Coturnix japonica: one gene and its partners. The protein of the gene in region 3 interacts with the protein of the main gene of each other region in a pairwise test. Links are inferred from orthologs where the notes say so. Each region holds a gene or a part of one and is shown on either strand. Other genes may lie near its edges.

Region 1 (6,423 bases), on a different chromosome or scaffold from region 3:
AGCCAGCTTCTTAATTTAATAACTGCAATATTGATCTAGACAGCTTAATATATATATATATATAATAAAACCCACTCTGCGTAATTATATTAACTGCTGAGCCTTGAGGGGTCTTGTGAGTGCATAACGTGCAATTAAATACTACCTAATTAAGAATTTCCCTGATGTTGTGATCGTCTCTTGGGTGAATGCTATTTGCATGTCTCCGTTCTTATCCAAGAACATCTTGTATTTTCCTGATTAGCAGTTTCTGCCTGGTCTCTGCGGTGCAATCTGGGAGGAGGGGGAAGCAGCGGGTGGTGCTGGAGCATTTTGTAGGCTTTCATGAGCAATTAAAAAAAATAGTCATTATTAAAAACCTGTTTGAGCAGCGTTTGATGTTCAGGCGGTCTGTGCTGAATGCTCAGCAGATGTGATAGGGTGCTGCAGTGCAACCAGGGCTTTGCCTTATGATAAGATATCTATGTTGTGATATCTTGGCTGGACAGTCCAAGCCATTGCAGCTGCATCGCTCCTTCTGGTTTCACTCACGTCACAGCTTCATGGGTCATTAACTTTCCTGAAGCCACGAGTTCTGTGTGAAGTTAGAGCAGGTGTAGACATTTTGAGTCAATAAATGTGACAGTATTTGGGCACTAGTGTTGTCCCTGGAAGTGAAAAGAGTGGTGTAGCATGGCAGGATTGGGTCTTTAGGTTCCTAGAAGATGACTTCAGGTCTGTTAATATTGGAGCGAGGCAGGTTGGAAGGGGGTAAAGGGGAATTCACAGTGAAAATGCTGGGAGCTGCAGTCATGACAATTCATGGACTTCTTGGTGGTGGGATAGTAGATTGGTCATATATGAGCTGTGCTAGTTTAGTGTGAATTAGGTTGTCTGGCTTGACTTCTGGAGTTCCAAAATCAATAACACATTTAGAAAAGGCTTAAGCATGCCCTGAATCCACTGTCAGCAGTGATGATGACAGCAATGAATGACTACAGTGGAGCACAACAGGAAATACTCAGCAACAGAAGCAGAGAAAAAATGGTTTTGTCTTTGCTGGACCTGTTGCTAGGGTAGTTTTTTGCACTGGTTCCAGGGCACCCTCCTACTCTCTGTCATGGAGATGAGGTGGTATAATTTTATATCATTTCTCCCACAGTTTTCCCACTTGCTGACCTGTCTTCCTCTCTGTTTTTTCCATAGGCCATCATTCTGGTGCACTGGCTGCTCACAGTGTGGTGAGTGATTGGTAACTGGCCTGGCTTGAGAAGAGCTTCCTTCAAACTAGGAATGGGATGTTCTTGGGGAATCGGCACTCCCTGTTCACACCTGTGTGCAAGGAGATCCTAAGGCCAAGTGCCTGTATGGGAGCAGGGATAAATGCAAACACTGCTGCAGGCTCCTTGTGAACTTGGGTTGGGTTTTCTTTGTCTTGTTTGGCAGGGGATGCATGAATAACTCGTTTCCAGCCTCCTATGCTTGGGGGAATTTCAGTGTCCTTGCAGTGGGGATCTGGGCCATTGTGCAGCGAGATTCCCTTGATGCCATCGTGATGGTGAGTGTGAGGGCATTTGCCTTTACCTGGCTGCTCAGGGAGAGGGTGGAGGGCAGAAAGGTTCCTTTGAATCAGTATAGTGATGATCTTCAGCTGCTCCCAGTGCAACAGTGAACAAGTCAAACTCTTCATTTATTTATTCTTGTCTCCCCAAGGGAACCTGGCTTCTACTTAAGCACTATAAACTGTGGTGAGAAGCATTCACTATCCATTATTTTGCTTCTCAGGGGTAAGGCATACTTGGTTCTTATTTTCTGCCTGCTGTTGTCGCTTTCAATGCCAGAGGAGGATTCAGACTATTTAATATGCTTGAGTTAGAGATGTCTTTAGAGATTCCCTTCTCTGATCATTAAAGAAATTGGCAAGCATAAATAAACAACCCTGGAACATACTAGTAGAAAGCGTCCAGCAGATGTGAAGAAAATACATGATGTATGAGATCATACGATAATCTGTTTACCTTGGGGCTGTGTCAGGGGTCATACAGAGGTTTTGTGTTATACAGAGGTGAAAGCATAACTGTGTGAATGCTGATCTTCTAGTAGATAGAACCTATAACTGGCTGTTACTCCTGGTAGTTAATTCCTCATTCAATTCATGTCCTGTTCTCTCTTTCCAGTTCCTGTCCGGCCTGCTGTTCACAGTCCTCACAGACATCATTCACATCTCCGTCTACTACCCTTTACATGCTTATCTCATCGATGCGAAGCGTTTCAGTATGGGCATGGCCATCTTCAGCCTCCTCCTGAAACCCGGATCCTGCTACTTTGTGTATCGAATGTACCGGGAGCGTGGAGGAGAATACATCTTCAACATAGGTAGGTTGCTTCCTCTAGATCAGTGTGGGCCACATCCTCTGATGTTAGAGAAGGCTGCTAGGGAAGAATTGTACCCTTCAGCCTCAACCGTGTGCATCTGGATTCTGCCCCTCTTTCCAAGGAGAAGAGGATGACCTCTCTCTTCCTCGTGTCTGTTCTCACTTTTGTGCTCCTGCTGAGTCTTAGGCCTTAAATTTATATTCTTCCTCTCTTCCCTTGCAGACCTGGAGTCCTCGTCTGACAGCCGTTTTGCCTACAATGGTATTGATGCCACTGCTGTCACTCTTACTCAGTTAACTCAGGTTTTTCCTCTCTTCCTGCATTCTGTGCGCTTCTCAGAAGCCTTTGGGTGTCCTTCTCACTTTGTCAACCTTTTCCTTCTGTGGGGAAGTAAAGGCATCAATCCCTTCTACCTGGGAATTATGCATGTGAGGAAAGGGTGGGTTTCTAACTCTGTGTCCTAGCTATCTTAATTGTTGTGGACTGCTGTTTCCTTACCTGGGAAATGGGACTGACGTTTACCTTCTGCTGCTTTGTGTGGAGGCACTTGTTTTTCCTCCTGGCTGTAGTTGCTAGGAATAATGTGGCAGCCCTGCCAGAGAGAGGTGTTATAGTTGGGTATTCTGTCAGCTTCTTTGCCAAATATTCCTGGTGCTAGTTCATACTGGGGCAGCTGCCAGAGAGTGTTTGCTGTGTGGGAGTTCATCTTGGCAAAACCAGCAGCCTAGTGCAGTTGTCTTTTTCTTTCCTGAGGCTCTGTAGGACAAAGGGTGGTATAACTAGCACTGCAGTGTTTAAAAGCTGCCACTTAGACTGCGTTGGTGTTAGCAAAAAAGATGAGGCTTCTTGTGAAAAGAGGTGGATGCTTGTAGAGAAGGAGAGGCTGTCAGAGGAAAATGGTGGCTTCACAGTATAGTTTGCATCTTGTAATAGAAGAATGTGGATGTTCTCTCCATCAGCTGCTTGGGCAGATGCTGGCAGGTCTCTCTTAGCTGGCTCAGAAGGCCTGTGTGCCATGTCTGTGCCAGTTTTTATTAGCTGCTTACTCTACTTGTAACTCAGATTTGATATCTGTATCCTATAGAAAGTATAGGTGAGTATTCTCCCTTCTCCCCATGCTACTCCAGCACAGGCATGATGTCAGAATCTCTTCCCAGGCACAAGCTGGAATTCACTCACGTAGTATTTTCTTATCCTCTCCTGAAATGTCTTTCTCACAACATTCTCAGTACAAACCATGTGCTGTTGTTTTCTGTTGAACGTGGTTGACAATTTTTCTCTTTTCCTACTAACTGGCATTTTTCTTTTGAACTTAATTGTGATTTTCCAGGTCCTCTGTCTTGTCTTTCTTTTGAAACAAAAGCCCTCTTCACCACTGGGCAGCATCCTCACTGTGTAAAACAAGCCTGTTGTGGTAACGTGGCATGCCACTCAACTTTTGGTTTCTTCTAAGAGATTCCGGGTGGTTTTTTTTGTGCTCATTTTATTTTATTTTTATCAAGCTGGTTCTCTTCTTCTTCAGGTCTCAACCGTGCAGGCCGGGACCGCAGCGCCTATGAGACAATTGATCAGCAGGATGCCTCTCCACTGTGGCCTGACTCAAGCAAGACAGCTCAGCAACCATATTGAGGCCCCTGTCTGCAGCAGAATGGACACCTCCCTCCCCCAGTCCAGCCTTACACTCCTCCCGTGTCTATTCTGATGAAACAAGACCTTCTACTGAGCAAACAGAAGAGGATCTGATTTGACTTTTTCCTTCCTGAAGATTAGACAGAGGGGTTCTTGGAGTGAGTCCGGAAGATCTCAAGTGACTTTAAGCACTGTTTAAGCTGTTTAAGTGCTGTTTAAGCTGTTTGTAATTTCAACACACTGCTTTCCTCTCTCCCCTTGAATCCCTCCTATGTATGTGCAAGTGGATGCACCTTCTGCATTCTACTAAGTCTTGTATTGTGCATCCTCTCTATTCTAAGTAAGGGAGATGCACAGGATGTTCCTGGGCAAGCTATCTTTAACAAGCTTAAGGACTGCCCCTAAAACAACAGTTCAACCCGTTTTGTTGTTGATATGTTTCCAGGAAACATCTGGGACTTCTTCAGGGCTGTTTTTGATGGTGTTTTATAATTAAGATTTATGACCATAACTCCCTGTGCTAGCTGTGGTGGTTTACGTGCAGTTGGGGTTGGTATCAAGTGCTCCTACTGGGCCAGGGAGCATTCACTGATGCTTTTATGGAAGTAAAATGTTCTTCAGGATACTTAATGGCTGCTAAATGTTGATTACATATGTTCTGTGCCTTGAAATGTCCTTTTGCCTTCAGCTGCCTGTCTTAATAGGACTTAAGTGTTACACTTTTCTAAGAAAAACATAAAATGAACACAGTTCTTCTGTGTTAGAAAGAAAAATTACACTGGTCACCCATGTTTCATTTGAAAACACTGCTATTCCTGAGGCTCTGGGAGGGTTATTAGGGGGCAAGGTCTACAAGGCTTCAATGGCTCTGTTGTAAGCATTAAGCAAACATGTGGAAGGTACCGCATGGAGATGTGTTGGCAGTGAAGGTGAGTGAGTTAAAGGGCTAGGGAAGGGAAGAGGTGGGTTTGTGGTGAGCTCTGGAATGTGGCAAGCTATAAATGTAGATCTTATACACATTAAACCTGCCCTGCTGTGGCTTTCAGGGGGAAATCCTTACAAATAAATGTTCAGCAGGTTTTGTCAGAAGAAGGAAAGATTGTCAGCCTTGGCTGAAGAAAAATACAAGAGCTGGGAAGATGTGTGTTTTTCTGAAGCAGGTTCACTTTCAAGGTATGCATTTGTTATTTGAGAATTGCATTTCTCTGACAAGACCTGATGCTGTGTTGACTCTTCAATGACCAAAAGCCCTGTTAACTTTGCTCTACCCCTTAGGAACATACCATTTGTATCTTTAAAGGCAAGCATTTTTCTTTCAAGTTTTGTCACTCCAAACATTAGCAGATGCTTCGTTCCCTCTACAGCACCAGCATTACGATGGCCTGCTGCTGTGCCTGGACCAGTGTTGCTTATGCTTGGCTGAACACACAGTAGATGCTGCAGAGCTGCATTAATCTGATTTACTCTCCCATGATGAAGACTAGGTAGGCAGAGTTTGTTTTTTATCAAGTCGCAGGGTGGGTTTATCCAGTGTTTTACTGTTCTTGAGAACTGTGCAGTGACCTTATAGATCCCATGTTCAAACACTCAGGAGATAGGCAGCTTTTTCTTCCCTCGACCTGTGAACTGCAGACAATTTTCAATGCAGCACTTTCTGAGTATTTGCATGAACATATGGTTACATCTAAGGAAGCTCTTCCAAGCCATTCTCCGTTGGAAAACAAAACAAAACAACAACAAAATCTGCATCGGTGCCCATCTAGTTGACGTGCTGTGTGTTTTCCTGCGGAGAGTTCAGCAGATGTGAGGGCAGCGCAGAGGAGCAAAGCAAGGCAGGGGTGTCAGCACGCTTGCTGTGAATCAAGGATGCCAGTTCTGGGCAGTAAAGCAGAGACAGATAACAGTAAAAGCTGTGCCCCTTTCCTGGCTTCTGAGGAAGAAAAACCAGTCGTTGCTGCCTCTCCCTCAGTGGTGTGGGGTTGAGGGCAGAGAGTGGCCCATCACCCAAAGCATCACTGGCAGCCGGTGGGTGAGGAGGAGAAAGCGGTGTCCCCTCTCCATGGTGCTGAGTGGGCGCTTTGTGCTGCGGCACCCGTGAGAGGTCGTGGCTGAGCTGCCCTGCCGTGCCAGACCCCTCATCGTCTGGCCGCCTTGAGAACGCTGTTCTAATTAGCCGTGGGCGAGAGCCGCTTTCCCCGTGGCCATCTGCAGCCCTGGTGACAGGCGGCGTTGCTAATCGGAGGGGATAAGCTGCTTAGGGCAGCCCAGCTGGAGTGAGCTCACTGCTGGAGTTGGGAGTTGAGGGGGGACAAAGCAGCAGGTTTGCCCCTGCCTTCGGAGGAGCAGACAAAGAGTCGCTGATCTGCCCTGAGGTTCTGGTGAGGCCGAGCAGCATGGCCAGCCGCTCTCCCAGTCAGTGAGTGTCTCAGCTGCTGGAGC
Region 2 (6,314 bases), on a different chromosome or scaffold from region 3:
CAGAGGCTTTGCCAATTCAAATACAGACAGGCAGGCGTGGAAATAGCAGTGTGCTTTCAGGGCACTAAGTTCCTCCAGAAGCGTTCAGGTGAGACAGAATGGTTTGCTCTGCATTTGGGCTTCTTGGTTGCTCCATCCCTTAGAGGACAAGTCTCAGCCTTCCACCCTCACATGATCAGAGCATCCCATATGGGAATGGGTCTATGCCCTCCCAAAGGCACCATGAGGAAAATACATTGGCAAGGACAGTGCTTGGACGGGATCCCCCAGTGCTGCAGCTGAGCCCTTCCAGCCCAACCAGTTGAGCAGTGCCAGCTATTTGGTGAGTCAGGGCCTGGGGGCCATTGTACATCGCCTGGATGGGTCATTCTTTCCCAGGCCTTGGCTGCCGCATAACCCATGTTCCATATGTATAACTGGCAGTAATGAGGTTCAGCTTTAACCCACTCCAAAAGCACTTTGGTTCTTTGTGTTTTGACAGGAGTTCAACTCCCTTCAATGCATCTTTAGTCAGGCAGTAAATCAGAATCCTTTGCCATTTGTCCTACCGATGTGGAAGTTTAGAAGTGACACAGCCACTTTTCCCTACACAGTTCTCGTGCTGTGGCTTTTTTAGGTGTGGAAGATACTGTTCTGTGTGACAGATGGTTCATTGTGTCCCATTAGAAAACAGCCACTTGATGTTTGATGCCATTTCTGCCATTGGCTGTGGGTCTCGTATCCCACCAGCAGCACTGTCCTTTGAACTGTATTGTATTGCTACACCATATATTGTCACTTTCTCGTCTGTGCCCCAGGGCCTCAGAATTGTGCCATTTCAGGGATTATTTGGATGTGCTGCTTTTCTGAGGAAAGAGCTGTTGATTTCCCTGCAGCTTTTCTGCTTTACCATGCAGGAGGATGGAACGGCGCTGGCTGGGAGGGGGAAGACATTGAGCTGCCTCCAGGCTGGAAGAGCTGCAGCACCTTCCCCCCTGTACAACAGCCTTGGAGTTCCTTACAGCTCCTTACAGCTCCTTACAGCTCCTTACAGCTCCTTACAGCTCCTCTCCCTTCTTTTTACAGCATTGGAGTCGATGGCTTCGGTCAGTCCCCAGGAGCTCCTGGCCGCCCAGTGACTGCCTATGGTTACCGCCCCGATGAGCCGTACTACTACAGCTATGGAGCACGATGAATGCGGGGCTGCTCCTGCCTGCAGGGACCAGAGTGTGCATGGCAGGTGTAGATGTGTCCCTTGGTAGTGCATGGGTCTGTCCTTACGTGTCCTTCGGTGTGTGTAGCTCCAGATAAACCCAACCTTTCTGGGTCCGCTGCTGTAGTGCTGGTGTTAGTCTTTGGTTGCTCTTTAATACCATGTTTTGTACAGGATTCGCTCTGTGATTTAAAAGCAAGTGTTGAAAAGCTGCTGGACTGGAAAGCGTCACGTTCTGTATATGAAGCTACTAATTTAATTTCTATTAAATACAAAAACCCGTGTGGTCAGTGTTGAATGCATTAATAACCTGCTTATTCACTGGGGTTTAAGCTGGATCTAAGCACAGAGCAGGGACTGATGCCCTATAGATGCAACATACAGGCACTGCTCTGCAGTTCAAACAGTTCCCTAGTGATACAGCTGCCACCACTGCCATTGGGGGCGTCCTCCTAAGGTCCCCTTTGAAATCAAGGAGGTTTGGGGGCAACACGGGGTGAGGAAAGGCAGAAGTGAACAGATATGGTTGGCCCAAAGGGCAGGAGCTGGTTGGGAGCCTTTGAGCAGCGGTGTGTGAGCGGAGCCGCAGTAACAGCGCGGGATGGGAGCGGTGTGTGGAGAGCACGATCCCCCGCCCGCACCGCAAATGGCCGCCCTGCCCGCGCCCAAGATGGCGGCCGCCCGCCCGGCGGGTCCTCCGTGCCGGCAGGGGGCGCTGGCGGCCGCTCCCGCCTCGTCAGCTCACGGCGCTGCCGGAAGCGCAGAGTGCGGCCGGACCGAGCGGCTGCGGGGCGGGAGGCGGCTCCGAGCGGCCGGGATGGAGCAGGTGCGGGACGGGACGGGACGGGGGACGGGGCGGCACCGCGCGGACGGAGCCGCCGCCATCGGGTGCCGGGTGCGGGCACGGCGCTGCCGGCCGGGTATTGGGGCGCTGCCGGCCGGGTATTGGGGCGCTGCCGGCCGGTGGCGCCGGGCAGAGGCCCCGCTCGTAGCGCGCGGGTTGTGAGGAAGGCCGTAACCACGGCAGGTTAAGCCCTGTTACATCAGTTAGGAGCCGTAGCGCTTCCTGGTTCCTATCGCGAACGTGTCCCTGCGGCTCCTTCCCCCGGCGGGAGCTCTGCCTGCTGCCAGGAGCTGTGCCGCCCCGGAGCTGTGCCAGGCAGCGGGATGCGGAGCTGAGGTGGGAGCACGGGGCTGTGGGTGCAGCGTCCTGCATAGAGAACACTGCAAGAGCCCCATCCTGCTGCGTGTGAGTGCTGCTGCTGCCCAGCAGGCCAACAGTTGGTATAGCTTACATTTAATACAGGTCATAACGTGCTGAGTATAGACTTGTTGGTTGATGAGATGAGCAGCTGATGGGATGAGGTTCTTCATGGCTGTCTGGTGCTTTGCAGAAGATGCTCTAAAAGTGAACAGGACGGCGCCTGCCTCCACCTGCACAACTCTTCCTTGTGACCCATTTGCCGCCAAGAGGGAACGTCTCCAGCCCAGCTCAGCGAGGGATGGGCTCAGAGAACAGCGCTTTGAAGAGCTACACGCTGGAGGAGCCGCCCTTCACGCTGCCGACTGGACACACCATTCACCCGGCTGTGCTGCAGGATGGCAAATGCACTTCTGTCTTCGTGTACAAGCAGGAGAATGAGAACATGGTTAATAAAGCCGCCAAGGTACCGCAGTGTGTGTGCTGGGATAGAGCTGTCAGAGCTCTGCCTCCTTAGAGAGGTGGGAAGCTGTTAACGAGGGTCAAAGCCTTCGGGGTGAGGGAAGAAGCAGTCGGGGCTGTCCCTGTCCATGTAGCAGGGAAGAAGGGGGTCGGCAGCTGCAAAGCTCAGTGCTCAGATAACAGCACCTGCCGGCATTCTCAATGTGCCGATCTCCTCCTGCATATCTCAGCACCAGAGTCTTTCTTAGGCAGACTCACAGCACTGTATTTATTCTTTTGTGTAAGCATCCAGGTGTGCCATAACGTGCTTTGCAATGAGCCATGTGCTAAGAGCTCGGTGAGCAGCAGGCTTGGCTGGCTCGATTCAAGTAGAAAGCCTGGCTGAGCTCTGCAGTGGCTGAGATGTAACAGATGTTTCTGTCTCTGGAAGCACCTGAAAACCCTGCGCCACCCATGTCTTCTGCGCTTCCTCTCTTGCACTGTGGAAGCTAATGGGATCCACCTGGTCACTGAACGGGTGAAGCCTTTGGAGACGGTCCTGGAAACACTTTCTTCTGCAGAGATCTGCGCAGGGATCTACGACGTGCTGCTGGCGCTCACCTTCCTCCATGACAGGGTAGGTACCAGCAGCACCACGCTTTGCTGGGAGCAAGAACTGTGGCAGCAGTGTTGTAACTGGGTTTGTATGGATGACTCTAATTCCTCGCAAACACACTCACCTGCTGGAGCAGAAATGCTAAGCCACGTGTTTATTTACAGCTGTTGCCACATGTCAGAGGTTGGTGTCACTGCTCCCCTGTTCTGGCATTGTTTGTCTATGCATGAACATAAATTCCAGCTCAGACTGGAGCTTCTGAGCTTGTCTGTAGTTAGTAGTTGTCTTTGCATTTACAGTTGCGCTGTAGGGGCTGTCACAGTTGGTGCTGCTCACCTGCAGCATCCCAGAGGCCATGTAGCATTATGCGCTTCTTGGCAGCTTTTCTTCGGTTCCCTCTTAGCTCCGATGAAGATTTTGCACCTTTCTTATGTTTTAGGGCAACCTGACGCATAACAACGTCTGCTTATCGTCTGTGTTCGTAAGCGAGGACGGGCACTGGAAGCTGGGAGGAATGGAAACAGTCTGTAACTTTAATGAAGCTACCCCAGAGGTAAGAGCCCAGCAGAGCACACCCCTCCAGTGCCTGGGAAGGGGCTCCTGGCCTGTCAGCACTGGGAAGGCTCATGTCCAGCTCCCAGCTGAACCATTGCTCCAGGAGCACTACAGCTATACTTGTCATCTACGTCAACTGAAACCAATTCCCAGTAGCCCCAAATGAGCTACTTCTCTAAGGGAGGCAGCTGGCTGGAGGGTCATGGAATCCTATCCCTGCCCAGATGGATCGTGGACGATGGGACCTAAGACATAAAGGGATGGGTTGGCTGTGGTGCCTTGAAGTTGCCTGTGCTTCACACCTGTAGCAGCTGAAGGAGCAGGGGCACATGTTAGTCCTGGCCTGTGGGGAGAGCTCGCTCCTGCTGCTTGGCCCAGGTGGGCCCCGCAGGCAGCTCACATCTCCCCTCTTCCCTTTCCAGTTCCTCTGTCATGTCAAATCAGTGCGAGACCAGTCGTGCATCCCATGTGAGGAGATGGTGAGTGACCTGCCTTCGTCAGGAGCTTGTTGCTGGTGACACATGACAGTGCTGTATTCAGAAAATAGCTTTCACTCACACGCTTCGTTTCCTTATGCCTGAATGGGAGGAAGTGGCTGCTGGATAATACCCGAGGTTTATTTTCCTATCCCTGGTTATGCTGAAGGTTGTTGACTCGCAATTGCAGCATGTGTTCAGGGGGGAATTGTTACACCGTGATGCTGTCGCTCCTTTGGGTTTTAAGTTCCTCGGTGGAGGTGTTTGTGTGCAAGACGCTCTGTGTATTGGGTACCGGGCGGAGCTTTGGAGCTATAGAAAGAACTGGAGAGTGTGTGTGGGGAGGGGTGGAGGTCTCTGGCAACTTCTGTGAACTCCTGCTTTGCTGATCTTGGTTTTTGTCTTTTGTTTTCAGTCTGCAGATTTCAAAGCTCTGCCCGTCAGCTGTGGGCATGCGAGGGACGCGTACGCCTTTGGGGCCATGGTGGAGAATCTCCTGACAGCCCTAAATGATCACGGTGAGCCCATGTTTATTTGCAACATGTGGACCTGTGCAGCTTATCCCTTGTGTGTGTCAAACGATGCAGCTCTTGTTGCAGTTGACACGTGCTGCAGGTTTAGTGGCCGTCACTGTTCTTGGGGTTTGCAAGGTTAAATTCCAAACCTCAGCATCTCCTTTGTTCCCATTTACCTGCATTTGAACATGGTCAGACAACAGAAGTGCTCCCAAATCTGTTTTGTAGCAGAGATTTGCACAGCTCTGCTCCCACCAGAAACTTCTCTGGGTGTTTAAGGCCACAGTGCTGCGTTCCACAGCTGAGCAGGGGCTCTAACACTCCTTGGTGTGACCAGCAGCACAGGGAGAAAGATAGAGATGCTATTATCTCTTCCTTTAGGAGCAAATATGAGTCATGTTGCAATCAAACAGATTCTAAAAGTAAGTTTTCAGGAGGGGTGGTGGACTCCTGAGCAAAGCTTCCGCAGCAGTGAGAAAGAAATCTAATTGCAGGTGCTCTGGCTTTCAGTTTCAGCAGATATTCTCTCCAGCTTTCAGCAGACCCTGCACTGTACGCTGCTGAATCCAGATCCAAAGTGTCGTCCCCCGCTGTCCAGCTTACTGTCTCATGAATTCTTCAGGTAAGGAAAGAAGCATCTCACCTCCTGGTATTGCTTGTTCCTGTGTTGTGAGTTCACTTAGTGAAGGCATGTTACATCGCTGATGGGACGTGATCCCTGCTTGTTACAGGGCTCTTTCTTGAAGAGCCCTTCAATTAAGAAAGCACAATCAGCCTTCCAGCTGAGGAGCTGCGTTAGCACCATCTAATCTTGGTGATCTCAATCTACGTTGTTGTTTGTTTTTTGCTTAGGAACGATTTTCTGGAAGTTGTGAACTTTCTGAAGACTCTGACGCTAAAATCTGAGGAGGAGAAAACTGAATTTTTCAAGTAGGTGAAGGAACCGTAACCTGGAGGCTTCCTGTTTCCTATTTCAGAATGCATCTGTCACACGGGTGTCAGGCAGCGCTGGGGAAGTGGTTCTTTGGGTGCCAGATTTTGATTGCTTTGGCAGGATATTGTTTGCTCTGCCAGCAAAGCTTTCTTTCATGAGATGATAATGAGAGTTTTGGATAAGACTTATTGAATGAATTAATCTTGTGGTCCCAGCCTTGTGTGGGCAAAGCTGTTGTCTGTAATGGATGTCCAGGCTGCAGTAATGCAGCATCTGCAGGAAATCCTATTGTCATATCCTCCAGATACTTTTTTTCCTCTGAGAAGCTTCCATTCAATCATGGCCTTACTTGGCCTAAGAAGGGGAGAAGCTGAATTCTTCTTT
Region 3 (5,454 bases):
TTGAGTGCTGGCTCATTGTATTGCAGCCTGATGGTTCTGCAGCTTAGGGACACTGGTAAGAAGAAATTGAAGAGGCTGTTTCTGCTGTAGTCGGAGATTAGGTAATCCTGATAGGTGCAGGGGAGGTTCTGCAGCAGCTATCCTAAGGAGAAGAGAATGGAGATTATTAGCTTAACTGTAGTATTGTCCCAAGCCTTCCAGTAGGCTGAATTAGCGAGCATTACAGTAGGATGATCTCGTACGACTGTAAAATGGCAAGCAGAGTACAAATATGGGAAGAAAGATCTTGAAAAAGATGCTGCAAGTTCCTTTGTTCTGCAAGTGTGATTACTCATTGCATGCACTGCTACTGGATGTGTGTGAGAAGCTGCAGGCATACAGCTATTTATTGCAGGGTCTGTCTGTCTTCCAGCTCTGATGGGCGTATGTGTAGGCAGCAAGGGCTGGCTTCTTTTTGGAGCCTAACATACAGACACAGTAAAGTTTTGTTTAGCAAGAGGACCCCTGGATCATCTCTGCATCTTCTGCTCTTGCAGTGATGCATGTATCTGGTCCTGACCATTCTGCACGCAGCTGAATCCCTTCCCTGGTAGTGTTGGTGAGTAGGACAGCTGCAAATGGGTAAAGGATAAAGTTTGGTTTGATTCTCATGTTTTGAGGCACCCTTTTCATAGCAGAAGTTTGGGTTGTGCGCCATGCTCATGCTTGGTCTTGTTCAGTCTTCTGTGAAGTTGCCAGCTAAGGAGATGTGGGCATGAGAGCTGACGGGGAGATGCTGAGGCAAGATCAGAGGGGAGACATCAGGAGAGCCAAAGAACATTTTTTATTTACTTACTTATTCATTGAGTCTTTCCATCTGAGATTGGATGTCTACAGGCTCAGGTTTATGTTTGAGGGTTTCAGGGTCTGTTGCCATCCTCACAGTTCCCCACTAACTGCAAGGAAGCCTCATCCACCTGTGTCCATTCCCCTGCCCACATGCGTACGCCGCAGGTTGCTGCCTGATTGCGCAATGTACTTTCCACTGGCTTCCTTGGTGCAGAGGGGGAAGATAGAGCCCCCAGGAGGAGCTGGAGAGTGCCATTAGCTCCCAGCAGCCCCATCTAGCATGACACACAAGAGCATTTCCTGAGACCAGAGATGCCGCAGTCACCCTCCTCCATTCAGGTAGTGCAGCACGCAGGTTCTTTCTCTGAGGGTTCCCCCTATTGGCTTGCTCCTCTCCTTGCCAGTTGTGGCCTTTTGCTGCTCCTCCAGCCTGCTCTCGTCCTCTTGAGAGCAGGAAGGGAGGAGTATTTTTGTTTAATTTGCTTTCTCTTGAAATTCCTTAGATTCCTTTTTTGCCTTGGCCTGGTGCCTGTTGGGAAGGAGCAGCCCTTGCTTCTGCTGCTCTGCATGTGGGCATGTGAGCTGCCCTGTAGAATGATGGACGTGGGGACATTGGTTGTTGGCAGAGCTCGTTCCTGCTATGCTTTGTTCCTAAGGCCGGGTGAAGGCTTTTCCCTGCCCAGCTCTTGGTGCTTTCAGTTTTAGATGGGAAAGAATTCCCTCAGCATGAGTGCTGCCACGAATAGCCTGTATGTCTGCTTACATTTATCTGTTTGGCCGGTGCTGATCAAAAGCAGCCTGACTTTTTCTTCAGAAATGCTTTGAAGGAAGAAGAGAGTTTATTTAGTTTATTCAGTGCAAACCAAGCCCAAAAAAAGAAGGAAAAAATAAAGCTTGCTTTTCAGTCATTCTCAGCAGCAAAAAAAGAAGTATGAACCCATGCAGCAAAAGCAAGTACAGCAGGAAGGATGCTGTCAAAGCACTTCTGAGCAGCTGCAGGGTTCCACAGGGTTCCTTGCTCTCACCCACCTCACTGTACCGAGGCCCTGTAACCTCGGGGTGCTTGTTACAAACCCAGTTTGCAGTCCAGAGGGAGGCTTGGTGAAACTTTGCCCTTCTGAGAGAGGAAGAGACCAGTCAACTGCAGTATCTTTCTCATCCCTAAGATCCCGAGCAGCTTGCCATGCGAGCAGCCTGGCTCTGCCTCAGGCTGTCACTAGGAGGAGCTGAAGAACCTGTGTCGCAGCAAGGCTGGTGGGGTGGTAGCAGCCTCGGTGCTTCCATCCACTCAGATGGAACTGCACAAACCCCAGAGGACAGACTGCGGGTCCAGGCGGGAAAGGAAGAACAAAATGTCCCTTTCATCTCAGCCTCCTGCTGGGAGAGAAGCCAGACCTCTGGAGGGTTTCCTGCAGGAAGGATTTCTGAGTGTGGTAGATCCGTGCTGGCAGCAGGGCTGGGACAGCTGGAGCACACAAGAGAAGGCCCTATAGGTTGGCACAGGGGACAAGATAAGGACAGGAGGTGGTTGGGGGGAGAGGAGAGGCATTGTGCTGGAGCTGGGTAGGGGCGAGCAGGCTGTCATGACTGCGTCTCTGAGCTCCAGCAGCTCCTTCTCGTGATCACATCTATGAGGTCTCTTCTGTCTCCATGCGCTCAGCAAGTCCCCAGGGAGCGTCATCATTTCCACTGCTGTTCTCTTCAGCAATTCCCAGCAAAATTTGTTCTGGATGAGAAAAATAGCACCTGGAGCAATGCAGCTGGGCTCTGGTTGGAGGGATTTGTCTTATCTGATCAGCAGGGGCAGAAGAAGAAAGATGGGTCACAGGGGATTAGAGGATGGCAAAAGTCTTCCTCCTGCCTGCCAATGGGTGGGGAGCCCTCCTTCAGCTCCTGTGCTATCTGAAGAGGAATACAGGTCCTATCTGATACCACCCTGGCCATAAAAGTCTAAAGGTCATCATGTCAGAGAGACAGCCTGGTAAAAGTCTGGGTTTGTCTGTTTATGATAGGGTAAAAGAGAAGGAGAACCTGTACTGGAGAGGAAAATAGCTTTACCTTTTGCTTTTATATTAGGTTATTAGGTGTGGTCTTGTCTTTTAAATTGTAGGTTTTATTTAAACTAGAAAAGCTGTTGAGACTTAACATAGACTGCTGTATAAGGCAATGCAGAGGTGAGGCCACAGAGAGAAGGAACTCAGTCAAGCTGTCGTTTTGTAGATGTGCCAGCTTTGAGCAGTGTGGGGTCAACTCCCCAACCTGCAGGCAGAGCCCTCATCACTGCTTACAGCCAGATGCCCTCAGCTTCAGAACGCCGAGTCCCTGCAGTTCAGAAGCAAGGCTTTAGCAAAGAGAAAAGCTTTCTGTCCTTTGTTGGCTGCAGTTGTCTCCCTGTCTGAGGCAGGGGATTCTGGATGGGCACAGCTGTAGAGCTCCATTTGGGGCTGGGTGCAGCTGGGCTTCTTGCAGCTCTCTGCTCACATGGATTTCTGTCTCTCTTGCCCCCAGGTGTCAGCAGTGCCAACAGTGCTGGCGATGAAGAATGGAGATGTTGTGGATAAGTTTGTGGGGGTAAAGGACGAGGATCAGCTGGAAGCATTCCTCAAGAAACTCATTGGAGCCTGAAGTTAAAGGGTGGCTGTACCTCTGCCTCTGAATATGTTCATCTTGTGCATTCCTTGTTGAGTTGAGGAGCACGTGGGCTGCCTGCCTCGTACAGCCTGGGGTTTTCTTCTGTTTGGGGGTCTTAGGAGATGGACAATGTTCTAACCCTTCCTTTCTGTTCCCCCCTTCTCTTGAGCAGCAGTAGTTGTAAAGGATGCTGAGGAGCAGAGCTGCTTATCCTCAAAATGAGGAATGCAGCTGGGATTAGGAGCCCGTGTTCATCAACAAATTGCTGACGTGTGGAACTTCTGCTGAGCTAAGAGGAGGAATATTTTCCTTTTGTCTACCATCTGACAGTCCAGTGCAGAGGGCAACTGCTCCAACATGCGGAGGCTTATCTGCTCTGGGTGGGTTTGTTTAAAGTTGAGAATGCCTCTGCCTTGTCTCTTGAAACTGTCTTGATCCTGCTGTTTGGATGTCCCCAGGACAGGTACAAATCCTCTGCAAACCCACAGGCTCCCGTCATAATTTTATAAGAGAAAATAGAAGTATTTTATGGATCTCCTTTTGTAGGTCTGTAATAAAGAGAACTTTATCGTCACATCTGTCTAGCTGGAGAATGAAACTTGATTCTCTGAAACCCCGGGGGAGCCCCTTATCTGTCCAGAGTAGCGAGAGGCACTATCAGCAGAACAGTGGCTGGTTCCTAATGATGGGTTGGGAGAGTGCAGGTTATGACTTGATCTCTACTAAAAGGTAATGTTCTGAAAAACAAACAAGTGGATCGCTGTCACAGGGCTCCCAGTGCTGCTCCTGTGTCCCACATTAGGTGCAGCTGGATCCCAGGCTCTGCAGGGACACTCCTTGTTTGTGCAGAGGCAGTGGCTCACTGCCCCCCATGCTTTCCTCACTTCCTTTCCAGTTTGAGAGCTGCCCTCCTTCTTGTGTAGATAATTCAGTCTGCTCACATGGGTGACCCTTGACAAAGGTGGATTTCTGACTCTTAATTGCCCCAACCTTTAGACTGAGGGAGGCAGCTGTGTGCCCATATCACCAACAGCCTTCAGCCCTACCCAGCTCTCCCTCCCTGCACACGCTTGGTGACTTCAACGTGCTCCTGGTTTCCCTGGGCAGTGCCCTACTCCCAGTTCCCTCTTACTGTAATACTTCACATTGGTGTGCATAGCTAAGATGCATGAGGGCACTGTATGTGCTTAACAGCCACGTAAGGGCTGCTTTCTTGTTTTCCTTCCCACCCCCGTTTCCCTCAATCACTCCTAACTCTGCCTTGGCTCTGCTCCATTTTGCCTCCCTGCCATAGGTTGTTCTAGGCGATGAGGCGAGTTTGTTCTGCACCTTTGTGCCAATGATTTACAGCCTTTTAAGGAGTGAAAGAAGCAGCCATCCAAGTCCTGTGTGTCCCACCGCAACCACAGCACTGTTCCCACCTGCGTCCATCGGGAGCGGCGCAGCCCCCCAGGTGGGTGCCTTCCCGGCAGGGCTGAGCTCACGCCCTGGCACACAGCCTGCACAGCGCGCTGCCTGCACTGATGTCAGCGGGCTGTAATTCGGTACGTTGTGAGCAGTAGGCAGTGGCATTTGCTTTTGTGCTGCTGCAGACCGCAGAAGGCAAAGCTGCTTGTGGCCCGCTCCTGTTGTAATCTGCCCTGCCTTTTTGGTGCACCTCAGTGTTCCTGCTGCCCCCTGAACGCTTCTAGTAAAGACCATCCTCGTTTTCCTGCATGTGCAGGAAGAGTAGGGGAACAGCGTCACGTACCCAACAATAGCCAACTCTTATGCTTCGCCATCCCACAGAACAGGAAAAAACACAGTGACTTTACATTGTGTGTTTAAGAGACAGTATAAATCGGCTGTTTTATCGCTTCCTTCTAAGGAAAAGCGGAGCCAATGTCCCATTCGGCTATGCCCTAGGGTGCGTTATGTGAAAGCCACAACTGTTTCTTTGAGACAAACAGTGAAGAGCCACATAGACAGTGCCCTGTGAGCAGTCCTTCAGAAAAT
Region 4 (5,771 bases), on a different chromosome or scaffold from region 3:
CAGTAAAGAGCACAGCCTGCTTTCTTTTGTAATAGCTTTAGGTGCTACGTCTTTGAGAAATAACTGGTTGGTGTGGGTGGGTTGTTTTTTGGTTCTCTTTCTCATTCTCTTTGAATGTCTACCTTATTGGAATGTGTTATTCCGTCTAATGAAGTAGGTGAAGTAAACTAAGTAATTAAAATTCAAGTTAACTGTTAGAGGCTGTGTCTGAATAAGCCTGTCTCATCTGAATTAGATGAAATGATACTATTTTTCTCATAAAAATTGACTTATAGTTGAGTTACTTCTCCTGTTTCAGCAGGCATTTGGAGGAACCTCTGGCTCACCGTTACTTCAGCCCCAAACCGATGCTATACTTCCACCACCCAAAAAAAAAGTTCCACCTGACACTTCTGTGAAGGAAAGGCTTTTTGTACTTTTTCATCCTCATCCCTTACCTGTGACTGTATTGGAGGATGTTTTCTGGTAAGGCTTCTTATATTGATAAGTGTTTTCCTGAACTGTGGAATAATGAAAATAAATGCTGGAAATTAAAACAACAACAACAAAAAAAAAACCGAACAACAACAAAAAACCACAACAATTAAAAATAGTAGGAATGAAACAATATGCACTTCTGTTAGAATTCTAAGGTGTACTTTATTTTATGTACTGGATTTTCTAGTCTTGGTACTTACATAACTTGAATATGAATGAAATAGACTTCAAACTTGTTAAGGTACTGTCTAGGAATCTCCTGAGGATTTAGATTTTCTGTGAGGCTTTAGCTTTTGCTTTGTGAGTCATTTCAGCACAACCTTTTTGAAGATGAATCACAGCTGAACAAGTTCATTTAAATGCGATGTGAATGAATTGCCTCAAATGCCTTTGCAATTGTCTGGTGTTTTTCTTTTGGTGGTGGGGGGGGGGGGTGTTTTTTACTCGTTTAGTATTTACTGTGTGTGACTATTTCATGGAATAGCTTTAGTGATCCTAAAGGAATATGTAATACTTGTGCTTCTATTGCAGTATTCTGTAGAAGACATTTCCTTACAGACCCCTGGGCTTATTTCTATTCTTGTGCAGAATTCTAGAATAGGGAATGAAAACTAGGACTTTTCAAGGAGGATAACACAAGATATTAAGGTGTATGTGCGAAAACATAGAATTTGCAGCTACTGAATTTTGTTGAGCTGGGATTAGATGATAAGTGTCAGTGCTGCAGCAAAACCTGTCAACTCTCTCCTTTGTTGCTGTTATTTTTTTCAGCCGTTTTGGAAATTTAATAAAAGTTTACCTTGTGGCTGGGAAAAATGTGGCCTATGCAAAATTTGCCGACAGAGCAAGTGCCAGTGAAGCCATAACTGCGTTACACGGCAAGATTGTGAATGGTGTCAGACTTAAAGTAAGGTTGGCAGACTCCCCCACAGAGGAATCTAACAAACGTCAGAGAACCTACTAAGTAGGTGAGTACCCAGTTGGAGTGGTTGCTTAAGCTGAAGTTCAGCTATTTGAAATAGTTGGAAGCAAAGAGTTTTGAAATTTTGTTGATAGCTAAAAATAAATTTAACTTAATTGGGGGGTGGGGTTATATGGTTTGTGTGTGTGTATAATGTATGGGTGTGTATATGCTTATACATGCACTTTTATTTTAGCAAAGAAATCTTTATTTTTTTAATGTTTCTACAAATATGAAATGATTAACAGTCTGGATGTTCATTGAAACATTCACTTAATGTACATAAAAGTATCAGGTCTGACTGAAAGAGTATTGGAAAAATAAACGTTGTAACTGAGACCAGCTTGCGTGTGTCTTCCTTTCATTACATACACGTGCCTTGAGCATGATGTTTGATAAAGATGCAGAGTTTGTCCCTGGAAAGGACAGATGAAGGAAGGGGTGTAAATGTCACAAAGCAAGACCAAAAAGGCAAGGCTTCAGTAATTTGGGTAATCTGGACTCTCAAATATCAGATGCAGCTGGAATGTGTGGTGGTGGAGGTGTATATTTAAAATATGAAGTTTAAATATTTTAGTTAATTATATGGCCAATAAACAGTGTCAGAGCTCATATATGGAGGTTTGCAACCAAAGCTCACTTGTTCTTAGGAAATGTTGGTTTGATTCAAATGTAAATATTACTTTAATACCCATTATGGGTATGGTTCTGAATCATTTCAGTAGCTGGTTTTCTACTGTTGGGGAGAAAACAAAAGAAATCCAGTTGTTTCTTTTTCTTCCTTCCCTTTCTCATTCTAAAAACATCACTTGAAATCCTAACTGTCTTCACATTGGTGTTTTACTTAGTGTCACACCTTGTCACTGCAATGTGTAGGTGTGTTCTGTGACCTGGGAGTTAGAAAGGCCAGAAAAAGATTTCACCTGTATGGTTCTCCCTCTTTTCCTAGGGAGTCCCATGTTTCTCTTTTGATAAGCGTCGGTTTCTAAAGGTCTTAATACTCTTCATGTACAACTTAAAAAGAAACAAAACAAAAACTAAATATGTCTGCATGGAATTGGAGCTAAAACTCTTTTGAAGCTTAAAAATTGGCAGGTCCAGTGAATGTAACTCATACCCATGTTTTTATCTTTATTCACTAAGTTCTTCTTTCTTAAATGTGATTATTATTTTTTTTTTCTTTAAACTTCTAGTAATAAAGGACCAAACCTTTCTGTCACTACAGGGGAAGCTATGATTTGAAGTGCAATGTCGTATCAATTCTGTTTTGACTGGAGGAAAACTACTTTATAGAATAGAAGAATAGTTATGATAAACATCCAAAATTAGTAGTAAACCTCAGAAAATGTTAATTCCTCTAAAAAATAATAATAATAATAATAATTGCAGGCTGCAGTTGTTTCCTGAGTGAAGATGATAGATACTGTCTGTTACTTGTAAGATTTGCTTTCTGTAAAGTAGTGTGTGAAAGTGATTTTAGTGTTTTCGGGTTAACTGCTTACTATGCAAAGAAGTTAAGAGTTGAGAATTCTTGGGTTTAGTGAGAAATTTCTGGATGTAGGAGGAGGGAATGTTCGTGTTTTGAGAAAGTATTGCTGTTTGTGTTGTAAAGGTTATCTGACTGAATGATAAGAAGACAGACCAAATAATTATTTATAGTCTAAAATCTCAGTTTAGAAGGATTGAGTCTGAAGACATGGATCAGTCTTAATCTATGAATATGCTCAAGTAAGCAAAGAGAAGAAGTGTGTTTTTTAATTACTTTTTTTTTTTTTTTTGGTGGGAATATATAGGATCCTGTGGCAGGAAGCTGATGCCAGATGTATTCACCTGATGTAGGGAGCCTGCTTTGGCAGGGGGGTTGGACTTGATGATCTTTGGAGGTCCCTTCCAACCCTTACGACTCTGTGATTCTGTTTTCACAAAGTAGAAATAAAGACCTGGCTCTTTTTAATGGGGACTGTCTGTCAGATGACTATATGGGGAAAAATCAAGGAGGATTGTGTCTTGATTCCAGTCTAACACTATTTATTTTTGTGGTTTGGGGTGTTTAAAATCTGAAACTGAATGCGTAATGGTGCTTTCTGCTTTAAAATGTCAATGAACTTGGTGTTTTATACTGTACTGCAATACAAAGAATGGATGAGAGTCTGTCATAGATGTCACAGACAAAAAGTGAGTACAGGGTGGAAAGCTTTGGTTATTACTCCAAAACAGTGGACTTTCACTGGCTGCAGAAGCTACTCTGTCCACTGTATTAATAGTGGGTGGGGTATCAAATTAATAGCTCTACTCTCCTGTTTTTTCTTAGGGTAGTTTTTTTTAATTACTGAAACTAAATTGTCATCTTACCCTCTAATTTTCCTAATGCTGCTAACATAAAAAGCGTAACAACGATTCTGCAGGTTTGCAAATTCAGTAAGGGTTTGGTTATTGGTGAAGGTTACTGAGATAAGTGAAAGGAGTACTTGGCAGCCTTCTTACTGTTGCAGAAAATGTTAATAAACAAAAATTAAGAATTCAGAAGATGCCTCTTATCACGAATCCCTGAATTGACTTGAATTTGTTTTTATTTCTTAAATCTTTCTCAAAAAAACCCTTCAAATTTAATGTTCGCATGATGATTTGCTGCTGTGCAAAAATATTTTAAAATAGGAATTATATGAAAGTTGAGAGATACACCAAATTAATAATTTTTCAAGTACTATTTATCAGCTGTGTACTGTAGAAAAATTGCTGACTTTCATGCAATGTTCAGAATGAGACTTTTTCTTAAGGAAAAAAAACAACAACAAAAGGACAAATGTGTGATGCTTAATGTTATTCTTCTGAATGTGTTAAGAGCCCTTATCACTTACGCTGTTGTAAAGCCAATAGGTATGTTGCTTTTTGATACTTTTTTTGTACTTGTGTTTTTTTCTGCAGAACTAAATAGTGACATGACCCTCGACTGACTGACTGACTGAAACGTGACTAGACATGGTTCCTGGGGACAGTGACATCCTTTTTTCCTTTTTTTTTTTCCCTTTCCTTTTGCATTGTTGCTCTGTTGATGTCGTGCTTTCTGTTTTTAAGAAGTGTGAACATGCAGTTATAAAAGAATCCAGCAGTTTTGAAATTGTATACTGACGATTGTTCATGTAGAATCCTGTTTTCTTGTATTCCAGAAATAAATATCTCGTGCTAAACTAAGCTCCACAAACATGGAAAATGCAGTGATGAGAGTCAGGTTTTTGTGGCTTGACCTGGTTAATTGATAGTGAATCAAATTGTAACTATGCTATTCTGAAGGCACTTCCAGTGACCAGAATGCATTGAAGTAAAGCAGTAAATTGAAAGAAAGCGAAAGAACTATTTCGAAAACTACTAGCATATTTGAGAGTATTAAGTCAGATTTGATAGAAAAGCCATACTCATGAAAGTGATTCAAGTACACTCTTGAATATTTCACTGACTTGAGCCAAAAGTATTCGTTATGCTTTATGTGCTATTTAGCGTAAAGGGCATTTGACTGTGGGTCAAGCTATCAAAGCTGCTTGCATTTATCATTTTCTTGAGGTTCTATCATTGTAACTACAGAAAAATGGAGTCTGGGAGTTTTCTTTCCCAGTTTTTCTTAAGAAGCTTCCAAAGAGTACATTGTTGAAGAACTGGTTAATTGAATAACAGTTTAGTATTTCAGCAAGATGAAGATGATTTGAGCACTGCTAAAGAGTAAACGAAGATAATTTGAATAAGTATTTGCAAAGATGATTGTCAAATACAAATACTTCCTGAATGTTATTTGTTGAATTGAAAAATGTTGGTTATTAAATGTTCACAGATAAAACTGAAATTCTAACTGCATGCACACTGCTGTACAAGCACGCTCTTTGTACCTGGCTTCCAACTCCTCCAGTGCTGATCCCTTGATCCTTAAGTGGGGATAAATAGCTGAGCATCCACAACTTCCTCTGTCTTTGAGCACTTTCAGAAAGATGTCCTTCCAAAAAGTCACCACCCCACAGGTAGGTGAGAATGTAGTTCCATGACTGATGTTCCTGGGATGAATTTGGCATTTGTTTCCATGTAGCTCTCTGAGCTTTAGTATCATTTTACCCTTTATGGACTCCTTGCTGCCTTCTCAGTCCCCCTTATTCTTTCCAAGACAAGAATAGTTGCTGACAAGAAACTTTTCCAGCCTTCTATGTCGTGCTCCAGGCCCCTGACCCTCCCAATTCAAATAGCCAGTGTGCAGAAGCATGCTGTCTTTTAAGTGATATTTTTGTGTCTTAAGTTATGCTTCTACCTGTGGTAGATAGCCTCCTTTTCTTGTTTCCTTTGTTCTTCAAAG
Region 5 (5,771 bases), on a different chromosome or scaffold from region 3:
TGAGTAACTGCAACTCTGCCTTAGGGCAGTCCCTGCATTCTCTCCCCTCCCAGCACCAGTCTGACCTTTCTGTCAAGGAAACTCTTGTGCTTCAGCAGCGTCACGATTTGCATGTTCTGCTGCCACCTCAGCTGCTTGTCTTTCCCCTGCTAATATCGTTCCTCTGCTCCTTTTCCAACTTCCCTTCCCATACCTATATCCTTTTCCATTCCTGGGTGCTCTCTGTCTCTTCCATTATCTCCCGGTTCCTATTTTGTGCCTTTCCTGCTTTTTCTGTTGGGTGACATTTCTCTTTCTACCTCCATCCTCTCTCTATCACACATACACACACACATGCACACACTCACACTCACTTTTGAGTTCCTCTCTGCGTTTTTTAGATGCAATCTGGAAAGGCACCTGTGAGATCAGATAAAAACTGTTTACTTCCTGCTACCTCACCTCCTCCCTCACCTAACTGCATAGCACAAATTCAAACGTGTGCACACTTACTTACCTTACACTTTCAACTATGGGGTTTTTTGCTTGTTCAGGCATGTTTTGGGGATTTTTTTTTCTCTGATATTAGAAGTGCTCTGTGTCAGAGGCTGAACAGAAAGTGTTTGTAAGGAGAGCGTGTGTCTCGGTTCAGTGATGGGGAACTTCAGTGGAACTTAAGTCCTTTGTATCCATCCACTGAGCCTTCACCAGGAAAGGTCATGAGTATCAACTGCCCAAAAGATCTGCCAGAAAGCTGTAAAAATGCAAATACTGTGTTGCCCTTCAGTAATACAAGGAGGCTAGAATTGGGAATTGAGGGCAGTACATCAAGCCTGGCTGGGGAGCCCTGCTTGGTCAGCTTAGCTGTCCAAGTAAGAAAAGAGTACCTACAGATGAGAAAAGTGCATCCAGAGCTACAGCCCTGAATCGTACAAGCAGTCCTCTGGAGATATAGAGATGTAAGAAAGTGCTGTGATGGGGGCAAGCAGTGTCTTGTCCTTCTGAACCCCATCTGTAATGCAGCCAACAGAGTTCAGGAAGGGTGTTAAGGACACATGGCTTCACAAACTCCTGCCAGTCATCTTGGTTACCTTTGTGTAGGGAAGTACTGGAGGTGCTGGCTAGCAAGTTGGAACAGGTTCCTCTGTGCCAGGAAGGGTTCAAATCATGGGGCATAAAAAAGGATGGGCAGAATTCTCTGAAGTATTCTGAAATGAGCACGGCTCCAGCACCAGGGACTGGTGCAAGGTACCTGGGAGACTCCCTTTGCATGGCTGTCAGGTCTAGGTAACAGGCATTGCACTGTTTAACAGCAGTCACCATTGCTCTTTTTAAGGAGGTAAGGTGATATTAGCTTATCTGGAAGCTGTATTTATTGAGGAATTAGATATGATCCTCTGTAGCATGCAGGAGCTCCTAGGTGGTTTGTAATCTACCAGCATCTGCTGCAGCAGCTCAGCTGTGTTCCTGTTATCCTCTGTATGCTGGAAACAGGAGTGCTTCCCTTGTCAGCAGTTGTGGATCCAGTTGGCGTGTTGTTTAAGAAGATTCACTTGCCAGCTTTTTGTGTTTAGCACTACAGCTGGCTTATCTGAATTGCTGCCTGGGGATTTCTCTTTAGCTGATACAATCTGTGGCCACCCCTCAACTACTCTTGGTCTCCCACATGGGCTGCCTGCACACGTTGTGTTCCAGCTTGATTTTGTCCAGCGATTGGGCTGTTTGCTTGGCCCTGAGCTGGAGCAGGATGGAATCTATTCTTTTTGTAGCCTCTCTCATCCTTCTTGCCTGTCAGAGAGGAGGTTTGCTGGAATGCAGCCTGCATTAGTAGCAGCCCTGTGGATTTGCTTACGGGCTAGTCCAGCTGCAGTGATGGATGTTTTGGCTGTCTCGTGATACCTGGAGTGGGAAAATGCTTCTGTGCAGCAAAGCGAGCAAAGGGATGATGAAAAAGAACGTGCCTCAGAGCTGAACTCTTTGGCTTCTTTTCCAGACTTGTGTCATCCGTGCTTGGGACCTGCACAAACCCCTGCTGTTCTGCCCGGCTATGAACACGGCCATGTGGGAGCATCCCATCACAGCTCAGCAGGTGGAGCAGCTGAAAGGCTTTGGCTACACAGAGATCCCCTGTGTGGTGAAGAAACTAGTGTGTGGAGATGAAGGTCAGTCCTGTTGCATGTCTTCTGACTGTTTTCCTGCCCCAGTGCTCCTTTTACCCTGAAGGGAGGTGCCTTACTCTTCTGCTCTGTGACCTTCCAGATGTTAGACTGCAGTGAGCAGGTGCTCATGGCCAAGGTTTGTACAAACAACATGTCTGTGCTAGCTAACACCTATTACTCTTGTTCAAAACAAGCTGGTAGATAGGTCTGATACTTAAAAGAGATACTCTGAATCCTCAAAGAGATCAGATCAAAGAGAAGCAAGGCTCTGCGGTGAGCATTATCAGCCTGGGATTCTGGTGTCCCAGCCATGCCCTCTGCTGAGACTGTGGGCTGTTTCCATCATGCCTCAGTTCCTCATCTCTGACGTGGGGATAATATCTTATCCCTTAGAGCAGACATAGAGGATTAGCACTTTGCAGATGTGGCTGAGGGTGTAACTGAACATACATTTACCATTTGTTGTTGTTTGTTGCCTGGGTTACTTTTCAGCTCAATCGGCTTCACAGTCTCATTTTGATCTGGAGTTCTGACATCAGCCTTGTCTGTGAAGTGAGAGAAGGGGGTAGGAAGACTTGTCACGCTCAACTTTCAGACTTAGAGTGCCAAGTGAAAATGTCTCATTTGTATTCTAGGAACTGGTTTAAATGAGCATGTTTTGATTTTTGGGAGGTTTCAAGAAGGTTTTTTTCTATATCAGCATTTTGGATGAATGGATTCACTTCTTTAATTTAGTCTTTTGTGGACAGTTTGTCTGTAAAACATCACCCAATTCTAGCCATAATAGCAGTAGTTTTATTGCCTGCACAGTAATGCACTCGTTCTTTCATCTGATAACCCAACAACAGCAGGATCTTAACCACTCAGTCAGCTATCTCAATGAATGTCTGTCGTGGAGACTGGATGCTAACACGTTCTTCATGGTTAAATTCCAGGGCTGGCTTTCTTAGCGTCTGAATTCTTGGGTAGATGCAATGCTTTTAGAGAATGTTTTTCTGGAGATGATGACTTAGAAATATTTACAGTTTAGGTAAGTGTAGTCAAGTAATTCAGGCATCAGCTGTAACTGTACTGGACAATTATGTTTCCGCTGGGGTTTTAGACCTGATTACATCAAATTTCCTGTGTGCTTGTAATAATGTTAAGGGAAAACGCCCAAAAGAGGTCATTCTGTGCAGACATTTTGGCAGGAATGGAAAGGCCATCTGGCATAACTTCTTAGTCCCTTGGAGCTTTTCCTTTATCTCTTTTTGTACTTGTATAGGACCTCTAGTCCTATAGCACACTCTGAGTGATGAGCTTATTCACACAGGTCCACACACCTGAAGCAGAGCTGCGGTGTTGTCCCTCTTTGGCAGATAGGGATATGAGATGCAGAAGGGCCGTGTGTGTTGACTCAGTGATGCAGATGGCTTTGAGCTGGATGCTGAACATGCTTTCTGTGTTCTGCTGCTTTGCCCTGCTGTTCCCTGGTGTTTCTGCCCTCATGGTAGTGATCCAGGGCCACATGAGAAGCAGTGTGTCCATTGCTGCGGTTTGCAGCTCACAATGGCAAAGCCAAACCAGTACTGATCAGGAGTAACCTCATTATAACTACAGTCATTTGGGAGCTGCTTTGCATGTAGTTCAGATGTTCCTATAGTGAGAATGAACTCCCAAAGAAGCCTGTAGGAGAAGGATGGTATGGACAGCTGAGGCAGGAGTAGCCACATCTGACTCGGCTTTGCTTGTGCTTGTGAGTCAATTTGCATCAAGGTTTTCCTGCTGGCACATGCCAGGGTTTTCCCGGCAGCAGGTAGGAAACTTACGGCAGAGCAGTAAAGCACCCCAGGTCTCTGAAAACACAGGATAGTCTTCCCCAGTGACTTTTTTTCCCCACCTTCCTCTTGGTTTTTTTTTGATGTTTTTATTTTTCAGGCCTTTCCCCCCAAAACCTCTTTCTTCCACACTAATTTCTGGTTTGTGGGTTTTATCCACAAAAGGGTTTGCTTGGCTTCCAATGGCCAGATAGCAAAGCTCACATCTGGTGCCGAAGATTCAGTTTGCACCAGTTTTGTTTGCTGACATTGTGGTTTAACTTGCTGTTGAGTGAGGTTCATCTCCTACCACTCATGTAACTGAACACACCTGAAGTGGCTGCCATCATGTTTCTGTATTACAACCACGTTTCTTCCATACTAAGTGGGTGTTTGAACGGCTCATGGCTCTAGATAGGCATCTGCATGCAGAGTTATGGAGTGTTTGTAGAATACATGGCATGTAAAGGTGGATGGGAAAGTTAAGGGTGGGTGGGAAAGCTAAAAAAGGAAACTAGTGAATGGGAATCTGGATTGTTCACATCTGAGTCCATGCATCAGACGCTTCAGGTGTTTTTAGACATGGAGTCCAGCTAAAAAGAGTTAAAATATTCAATCTAGTTGCCAATTTAAATGTTTCCTTGATTGGATAGTTAAATGTAACCTAAGGGTTGCTGGCTTTGGTAGTATCCATCCATATAAGGAGAGCTCTGAGAGGTGCCATACCACATGCAGGCCTGCAGCAATTTATTGTTGCGAAACACTTCCAAACTGCTGGTATTTTCTTCATCCTTGGCTGAATTTCTGGATCCTGGCACAGTGGAAGAATTTTTCGCCATAGGCACAATGTGTGCTGTGAATTGCCAAAGATGTTGAGAAGGTGGGTTGTGTAGGATGAAGGCGGGTGTTGGAAGTGCTCTTGGAGGCTGTCGTTCTGCCAAACGTAAGGGTGCATTTGGGGAATTTCTTTTGTTTAGCAGAAGGCATCAAATGCAGCTCCTCTCAGAACAGGAGGCGAGAGCCACCCACATCTGCCTGCATCTTGTCTGTGGGGTGCTTCAAACCTTTTAGGTTTTATAAGCCTGAAAATGATGGAGTGGAGATCCTCACTCTCGGTTTTCTTGTCTTTCCAAAAGCATTGCACTTCATCCCAACTCCTCACTGTTGCATCCAGTTATACCTTCTGTCCCAGGCAAGGCTCAGGTGTCTCATCTGAAAGCTGAAGGTCCTGTCCGATTCAGTGCTGTGATCTGCCCACAGAGCACACCCTTCTGCTGTATAATATGGTGTTTTCTCTTCCATCTCATTCTTCAAGTTGTAACTGTCCTTTGGAACCTGCTGGTTTCACTATTAGTCTGTGCACACGCTAACCCAGCTGTGGAAGTGAATCAGAAGAAAAAGAAGAAAACGAAACCTCCCAGAACTAATTTTTAACAACAAATAGGGCTCGTGTTTTAAATAATTACAACAATTAGCCAGCAAAACAAAAGACCAGTAGAGATTACCATCTTTGGAATCTTCTAATGGAAACAGATGCTGGTGGGGAGGTATCAGGAGTGAGTGGACTGATTTCTCTGTATGCACAAGATTATTTAGTGCTCTCTGATCTTGAAGTTTTCATTCTAGGTTTAAAAAAGAGTGTTTCAGAGCAAAAAGTAGATTAGATGTTCATCTGGAAACTAACCAGTCCAAAAGGAAAAGCTTTTACATTTTGTTCTGCTTAGCACACAGTCTTCTCCAAGAATTACTCCCAAGAATCAAGCTGGTGCAAATCCAGAGCAGCTTTCTTTCTAATGTAGGCCTAACTGTGGAGTCATTGGAATGGTATGAAGTCAAG

What was found.
Region 1: the proteins of TXN2 (region 3) and AGTRAP interact in binary tests that used the Homo sapiens proteins (3 or more experiments, as listed by UniProt). The two-hybrid records come from large-scale screens. The link is inferred for Coturnix japonica from reciprocal best matches to the Homo sapiens genes TXN2 and AGTRAP.
Region 2: the proteins of TXN2 (region 3) and SCYL3 interact in binary tests that used the Homo sapiens proteins (3 or more experiments, as listed by UniProt). The two-hybrid records come from large-scale screens. The link is inferred for Coturnix japonica from reciprocal best matches to the Homo sapiens genes TXN2 and SCYL3.
Region 4: the proteins of TXN2 (region 3) and RBM45 interact in binary tests that used the Homo sapiens proteins (3 or more experiments, as listed by UniProt). The two-hybrid records come from large-scale screens. The link is inferred for Coturnix japonica from reciprocal best matches to the Homo sapiens genes TXN2 and RBM45.
Region 5: the proteins of TXN2 (region 3) and PPCDC interact in binary tests that used the Homo sapiens proteins (3 or more experiments, as listed by UniProt). The two-hybrid records come from large-scale screens. The link is inferred for Coturnix japonica from reciprocal best matches to the Homo sapiens genes TXN2 and PPCDC.

What each region holds. Positions count from the first base shown.
Region 1 is NC_029536.1:4,898,320-4,904,742, reverse strand, and holds the end of AGTRAP (type-1 angiotensin II receptor-associated protein), read left to right. Parts: intron 1-1,185; coding exon 1,186-1,220; intron 1,221-1,425; coding exon 1,426-1,537; intron 1,538-2,156; coding exon 2,157-2,355; intron 2,356-2,577; coding exon 2,578-2,616; intron 2,617-3,877; coding exon 3,878-3,984; 3' UTR 3,985-4,614; downstream 4,615-6,423. UniProt on the Homo sapiens protein: Appears to be a negative regulator of type-1 angiotensin II receptor-mediated signaling by regulating receptor internalization as well as mechanism of receptor desensitization such as phosphorylation.
Region 2 is NC_029523.1:6,562,182-6,568,495, reverse strand, and holds the start of SCYL3 (protein-associating with the carboxyl-terminal domain of ezrin), read left to right. Parts: upstream 1-1,910; 5' UTR 1,911-2,018; intron 2,019-2,586; 5' UTR 2,587-2,694; coding exon 2,695-2,859; intron 2,860-3,285; coding exon 3,286-3,471; intron 3,472-3,889; coding exon 3,890-4,003; intron 4,004-4,427; coding exon 4,428-4,484; intron 4,485-4,896; coding exon 4,897-4,999; intron 5,000-5,506; coding exon 5,507-5,618; intron 5,619-5,848; coding exon 5,849-5,926; intron 5,927-6,314. Other genes in the region: KIFAP3 (kinesin-associated protein 3), read left to right, coding at 1,066-1,174. UniProt on the Homo sapiens protein: May play a role in regulating cell adhesion/migration complexes in migrating cells.
Region 3 is NC_029516.1:47,243,289-47,248,742, forward strand, and holds the end of TXN2 (thioredoxin, mitochondrial), read left to right. Parts: intron 1-3,336; coding exon 3,337-3,453; 3' UTR 3,454-4,033; downstream 4,034-5,454.
Region 4 is NC_029522.1:13,805,685-13,811,455, reverse strand, and holds part of RBM45 (RNA-binding protein 45), read left to right. Parts: intron 1-298; coding exon 299-465; intron 466-1,248; coding exon 1,249-1,441; 3' UTR 1,442-1,445; intron 1,446-4,363; 3' UTR 4,364-5,771. UniProt on the Homo sapiens protein: RNA-binding protein with binding specificity for poly(C). May play an important role in neural development.
Region 5 is NC_029525.1:1,692,144-1,697,914, reverse strand, and holds part of PPCDC (phosphopantothenoylcysteine decarboxylase), read left to right. Parts: intron 1-1,972; coding exon 1,973-2,141; intron 2,142-5,658; coding exon 5,659-5,758; intron 5,759-5,771. UniProt on the Homo sapiens protein: Catalyzes the decarboxylation of the cysteine moiety of 4-phosphopantothenoylcysteine to form 4'-phosphopantotheine and this reaction forms part of the biosynthesis of coenzyme A.